2 linked regions of the Nothobranchius furzeri genome follow. Each later gene encodes a partner of the first gene's protein in a complex. Links are inferred from orthologs where the notes say so. Each region holds a gene or a part of one and is shown in the gene's direction. Other genes may lie near its edges.

The links.
Region 2: gtf2e2 (region 1) and polr2c share a complex: the UniProt entries of both Homo sapiens proteins name them as parts of the TBP-based Pol II pre-initiation complex. The link is inferred for Nothobranchius furzeri from reciprocal best matches to the Homo sapiens genes GTF2E2 and POLR2C.

The regions. Positions count from the first base shown.
Region 1 is NC_091747.1:77,638,574-77,642,399, forward strand, and holds part of gtf2e2 (transcription initiation factor IIE subunit beta), read left to right. Parts: intron 1-2,500; coding exon 2,501-2,683; intron 2,684-2,759; coding exon 2,760-2,853; intron 2,854-3,826. UniProt on the Homo sapiens protein: Recruits TFIIH to the initiation complex and stimulates the RNA polymerase II C-terminal domain kinase and DNA-dependent ATPase activities of TFIIH. Both TFIIH and TFIIE are required for promoter clearance by RNA polymerase.
Region 2 is NC_091744.1:86,086,207-86,089,392, forward strand, and holds the end of polr2c (DNA-directed RNA polymerase II subunit RPB3), read left to right. Parts: intron 1-1,363; coding exon 1,364-1,492; intron 1,493-1,564; coding exon 1,565-1,616; intron 1,617-1,715; coding exon 1,716-1,884; intron 1,885-1,958; coding exon 1,959-2,033; intron 2,034-2,190; coding exon 2,191-2,335; 3' UTR 2,336-2,479; downstream 2,480-3,186. UniProt on the Homo sapiens protein: Core component of RNA polymerase II (Pol II), a DNA-dependent RNA polymerase which synthesizes mRNA precursors and many functional non-coding RNAs using the four ribonucleoside triphosphates as substrates.

The DNA.
Region 1 (3,826 bases):
CGGTGGGGTTGAAGCAAGGTGGTCAAGGTTTTTTTTGTTAAAACATGTGAAGAGTGTGTTACAGTAATCTAGACGAGAGGAGATAAAGGCATGGATAACTAATTCAAGTTCATGTTTTGACACCAACCTTCACAGTTTGGAGATATTTCTTAAGTGGTGAAAATGTTTCGGACCAATGTTTTTGAGTGGTTTGAGTGGCCTTGAAGAGAAGAAACAACACCCAAATTCCTCAAGTTTAACTTGACATCAGAGGTTAAATGACCAAGTTGTTTACTAGTCAGGGGAACCATGCTCTCACTAGTCAGGGGAACCATGCTCTTGGGGACAATGAGCAGACATTTGGTTTATCCTCATCGGCCCTCTCACTTCTGCCTTGGGGGATACCGCAGGGTTCTATACTGGGACCGTTGCTGTTTCCCATTTATATTCTCCCATTGGGGGACATTCTACAAAAGTTTGGAATTGGATTCCATCTCTTTGCCGACAACTGCCAATTGTACTTACCTCTAGATGGCGCCGGTGATCACACGATAAAGATTTTTGAGATTGTTTGGCAGAAATTAAGATATGGTTGGCAGAAAACTTCCTGTGTCTCAATGGGAAAAAAAACAGAGGCACTGTTGTTTGGACTGAGTGAACATTTAGATTTTTCCAACGTAGACTGCGGTAAACTGAACTCCTGTATGGGTGTTTCAGCAGTCAACCTTGGCGTGAAGATGGACAGTGCATTCTGCATGGATGCTCATGTGGGTACTGTAGTATCCTCTTCATTTTATCATTTAAGACGTTTGGCTAAAGTAAAGCCATTTTTATCTAGACGTGACCTTGAGACTGTTGTTCATGCTTTTATTACCTCACGACTCGACTATTGCGATTCCGTTTTATTTGGTGTAAGGGTACTGTAGCCCGATTGCAGCTTGTCCAGAATGCTGCAGCTAGATTCTTGGACTGCAAAAGGAAGCATGAGCACGTGACACCAATTTTGGCTGCTCTCCACTGTTTACCTGTTGATTTTAGAATTCGTTTTAAAGTTCATTTAATGGTGTTAAAGGCGCTGAATGGTGTGGCTCCAGCCTATTTCAATCAATCAATCAATCAAAGCTTTATTTATAAAGCGCCTTCCGCAACCCTGTCAGGAAGCCCAAGGCACTGAACATGGTACAGTAGAAGTACAAATATAGTGAATAAATCAAAAATAAAAGCAATTCAAAAATAAAAGCAAATTAAATTACTAAATACAAATTACAAAAAAAGGTGAAACATTCTGGTACAGGACAGATGTGTAAAACAATGGATAGAGTGAACCAATGAAAACTGTGAAATAAATTCAACATAATAGAGGGCCGAATCAAACATGTTCAGGAAACGCCAAGCGGAGGAGGTGTGTTTTTAGGTGACTCTTAAAGGCTGGCAGAGATGGGGACAGCCTAACTGAGGGTGGCAACTGGTTCCAGTGTGACGGTGCTAGGACTGAGAAAGCCCGGTCCCCGCGAATACGACACCTAGAACGAGGGACAGCGAGCAGGCCTTGGTCAGAGGAGCGCAGAGCGCGTGATGGGGAGTGTTTGTTCAGGAGAGTGGCTAGATAGGGGGGACCACCACCCTGGAAGAAATGATAAACAAAGACGAGGATTTTGAATTGTGAGCGATAGCAAACCGGAAGCCAGTGCAGGGAGGCCAGAACCGTACTGATGTGGTCCCGTTTCCTGGTCCCAGTCAGGAACCTATTTGGCTTAGTTGCTGCAGCCATATGCTCTGGCCCAGTCACTCCGCTCTGAGAACCAGCTGCTGCTTGTGGCTCCTAAGGCTAGGCTGAAGTTAAGAGGGGACAGGACGTTCTCTGTTGCGGGTCTGAAACTGAGGAAAGCAATGCCCCTAACTATTAGGGACTCTCCATCAGTAGCAGTTTTTAAAATGAGGCTGAAAACGTACTTTTATGATCTGGCTTTTAATTCTGTGGGTTAGCAGTTGTTAATGTTTTATATTTTGCAAGTCTCATTTGTGGTTTTAAATATGTCTGTAGCGATATGTTTTATTGTTTTACTATTTTGTTGTACAGCACCTTGGTGGCATGCTCATGCCTGTAAGGTGCTTTATAAATAAAGGCTGAGTTGAGTTGAGTTATTCAGAAGTGAACTGAAGGATGTTTTCTTCTAGCCAGCTGGTGATGGCTGATAGACTAGTAATTCAGACAGTTTATAGAACTCAGAATCCCTACAGCTGAATATCATCTGCATATAGATAAGAGACATTATGAAAAGGATAATAATCTGTCCAAGAGGGTTTATATACAGTAGAAAAAGAGTGAACTCAAAACAGAGCCTTGGGGTACCCCACAGAGCAGATCGATAGAATCTGACATGATTTGGTTTATATAGACAAACATATGTTTTTGTTAAAAAGCCTCTGCATATCTTACTTTTACTTTACGTTTCATCTATTACCATTATTAGTACCATTAAATCTATGACTCAGTAGTTATATCTGCTATTATTTTCAGGCATTGGTCAACAACCCAAAAATTGAGGTTCGTGATGGGACTTATGGCTTCAAGCCCAAGTACAACCTGAAGGACAAGAAGGCCTTAGTGAGGCTGCTGGACAAACATGACCAACTTGGCCTGGGTGGAGTGCTACTGGACGATGTGGAGGAGGGGCTCCCTAATGCTGCCAAAGCCATCAAGGTGACCCAAATTTACATGAAGATGTGTTTAAATACGAGAATCAAACATGGAATTATAGATGTTTGTATCTCTGTAGGCTTTGGGAGATCAGATCATCTTTGTTACAAGACCAGACAAGAAGAAGGTTCTGTTCTACAATGACAAGAATTGTCAGTTTTCAGTTGACGAAGGTGGGTGATGTTGTTGACTGTATGTCCCACTCTGTCTCTCTACAGAGATCAGAGAATAACGCAACACCGATACCCGAGTTTGCTCAGAATGGGGCAGAAATGTGGACAACAGTTTAATCGGGACATCTTAATTTACTTAGCTTCTTTATAGCCTAGTCAAATGATAAATGACCCGCACTTGTATAGCGCCTCTCAGAGTAAGGACTCCAAAGCGCTTTACACTACAGTGTATCATTCATCCATTCACACACACATTCACACGCTGGTGGTGATGAGCTACGATGTAGCCACAGCTGCCCTGGGGCGCACTGACAGAGGCGAGGCTGCCGAGCACAGGCGCCACCGGTCCCTCCGACCACCACCAGCAGGCAAGGTGGGTTAAGTGTCTTGCCCAAGGACACAACAGCAGAATTCTCTGTCCGGAGCCGGGATCGAACCTGCAACCTTCCGATTACTGGACAACCCGCTCAACCTGTTGAGCTACTGCTGCCCAAACCGTAGCCGCAGCAAAAGGTTTTGCTCCGAAGGTCGATCTAGCCACACTTTGTTGTAGTCTCAGCAGGTTCACCATTGGCCCAAACTATTTTAGGTCTGGCATATCACAGAGCTCAATGAGACATGAGCAGATGGAGGTACTTAAAGCTTCTGGCCAGAGGTAATTTCCTTTCAGTGACGGGTAGAAAGTCTAAAAACCTCTGCTGAAAAAAGATCTGACTTCCGCTGCAAAAACACAAGATAGTTTCTGATCTTTCTGACGCTACCCAGCTGGTTACATCATATCGCGGCATTCCCTCAGAAATACATTGTAAACAATCCATGGCTTTGATTTTTCTGCGTAAGCATTATGGCAGATGACGTTTCATCAGAGTCAGTTGTAGCATCTGAAACCTCTGCTAGATGGTCATAATTTTCTTCCCCGGAATATAATTCAGACAAAGAGAACAAATATCGGATAGCCAGGAAGGTGAAACCA
Region 2 (3,186 bases), on another chromosome or scaffold:
ATGCTGTAGTAAAACAAAAGGTATAATAATTTATTATTAATAAAACCTTGTTGCAGCACTAAAGCAGAAAAATTAGATTTTGCATTAAATATGCAAAATATTTACATATGAATTGTTTTAGAGCCCTTTAATTGGCAGAATCTGATATTAATTTAGTTCTTACAAAAAATGGGTCCCAACATGGTTTGTGTGGCGTTGCCATAGTGTGACGTCATAGGCACAGATCCCCTGTCCTCTTGTTTGGAAATGGAAATATGATCACCCTACATTAAACAAACTGTCCACCCGGGCTTTTGCGCTGCACAGAGACGCTTCGCTGCCTACGACTGAACGTCAGTTGAGAGTCAGTCTCATGCAGACTGACCAATGAAGAGAGGGCCTCAAGTTAAGACCCTCTCCTCATTGGTCAGTCCACACGAGGTGGGTCAAAGGTTACTCTGGGCGGGTTACGTGTTGTCAGGCATTCAAGTATTGAGTATATTTACTGCATATTACAGTAAAATATTCTGTATGTGACCACATTATGGTGATCCTCGGGTCGTGATGATGGAGCCCTTGAATATTGTTGCCCAGGGTACAACAAAGTGTTAATCTGGCCCTGGTTCCGCCGTCACATTCCCGCAGAAACTGGTTGATCACACCGGGGCCAGACTACTAGCATGTGGTTTTACAACCACAATGTCCTCAGAAGCAAAAGCGCTTTTAAAAGGGAGGGAGGAGTCCTAACTGTTGCTGCAGGCGTGTTGTGTGAGAGTGCAGTTATATACTGGTTAATATATTTTTGGGTTCAGTTGCTTTCATGTGGCCTAATGTGAGTCTATTTGGGATCATTGGAATGATCAGCAGCATTTCTTGATGTGACTTTATGGCAGTTGCCCAGGGCATCATCGCAAGGAGGATGGCATTCATTTACTTTTGCTTTATTTGGTATTTTTTCAGTCATTTTTGGAAATAGTGATCAATTTTGATTAATTCACAGCCAATGTTTAATTACATTTAAAATAAATGTCAACAGATGAGATCAAACAAAACAGATGAGAATTGCCCTTAAGCTGTTTAACTTGGACCAAGCATTTTAGGTCACAGATAGATGTAGCTTAGGGTCTCTGTCTATACACCTTATAAGACAATTTAGGTGATGGCATGTTGTTTTCTAATAATGTTGTGTTAAATAAAGTGAAGGAAGGAGAGAAATAACGTTTCCCTAGCAGTTTTAAAAAATTTCCCCATGTAATCCGATTAATCGATTAATCGTGTCGAGACCCCATCCGATTAATCGATTATCCATATAATCGTTTGTTGCAGCCCTAGTGGTTATTGTTGGTGTCAGCATCATTGTCCCACGTGTCCGCTCCTCCTGCAGGACTGTACCTGTGAAGATTTCTGTCCTGAGTGCTCCGTGGAGCTGACCCTGGATGTTCGGTGCACGGAAGATCAGACGCGTCACGTCACCTCGCGTGACCTGTTGTCCAACAATCCCAGAGTCATCCCGGTGAGTGTGCAGTCTCTGGAGTTGCATCACAGAGCAGAACACAAAGCTTAACGTTCTCTTGTGGGTTTCTAGGTGACTTCTAGGAGCCGAGACAATGATCCAAATGACTACGTTGAGCGAGAGGGCGAGTTTCTCTTTAAAATACTTGTGGAACAATTTCATTGTGTTCTTCCACACTTTGCTTATCTACATTTTCTGTTTGTGTCGTTTACCAACACGACAGACATTTTGTTGGTAAAGCTTCGTAAAGGTCAGGAGCTTCGGCTCAGAGCGTACGCAAAGAAAGGTTTTGGTAAGGAGCACGCCAAGTGGAACCCAACCGCGGGGGTGTCCTTTGAGTACGACCCGGACAACGCACTGAGACACACGGTCTATCCACGACCTGAGGAGTGGTACGTCTTCATTTCACCATAAATCTTGTAAATTATAATGCTGAACAGCAACAGAATGGTGTGTTTTATCTCAGGCCAAAGAGTGAATACTCTGAGATCGAGGAGGATGAAGTTCAGGCTCCCTACGACCCAAACGGAAAGCCAGAAAGGTAAATAAACTTCTATTATAGGATAATTTTAATGATGTTTCCTGTTAAGAAGTTCTGCGTGTTCTTGGTTCAGCTCAGGAATCGTTTTTACTTTAAAAAAAAAACACAAAACTGAGATGTTCTGAAAAGGAAAACTTGGGATTTTTGCTCCATCCAGGTTCTATTTCAACGTGGAGTCGTGCGGTTCTCTTCGACCAGAGACCATCGTCATGTCGGCGTTGGCGGTCCTCAAGAAGAAGCTGAGTGACCTGCAAACGCAGCTGAGCCACGAGATCCAGAGTGACGTTCTCACCATCAACTAACTAAGCAGAACCTGGATTCACACTGGCTAGGGGGGTTCTGAGATTAATACAAAATATTTAGTTGGATTAAGAATAAAACTTCAAACTGTCAGATAATTATTTTTTGTTTAATGACTGTTTTTAAATAAATCCTTTTTAAATGTGTGTCTCTTTACTAGTGTTCGTTTTATTTTGAAGACCAGCTGTTGGAAGTTTGAAGTGACCTGAAGAAACTTTGTGCTTCAAAGATAAAAGAAAAACAAGAAAACTAAATCTCTAGATAATGACAGCAGTATGAAAATCGAGCTATTTGTAATATTCTATTTAATTTGATATTTTTTGTAATTAGAATTTTAATCCTCCAATGAAAACAAAAAATAATGACTTCAGATTATGTTTAATTGTAATTGGTAATCTGATTTGATTGATGGCCACATACTCTGTTAAAAAGGGATTAAATTTATTAAGCCATCTAGATGCAACTGACTAGCGCTTCATCATCATCACAACACCACCCTGCTTCACTGGCTGCCAGTCAACTTCAGGGTTCATTTCAAGATCCTGGTTCTGGTCTATAGGGCCTTACATGGACAAGCACCATCTTACATTGGTGATCTTCTTAGTCCCTACACCCCCAGCAGGTCCCTGAGGTCCAGTGATCAAAGCCTACTGGTTGTGCAGCACCAGGCTAAAGGTCAAAGGTGACAGATCATCTGCTGCTGTGGCCCCCAGACTCTGGACCTCTCTCCCCCTGAGCCTGAGACCAGTGGACTCAGTGGTCTCCTTTAAAAAGCAGCTGAAGACTCACTTGTTCAAGCTGGCTTTTGTATGACCTTCTTCACCTCTCTCTTTATTCTGCTCTCCCCACCTAT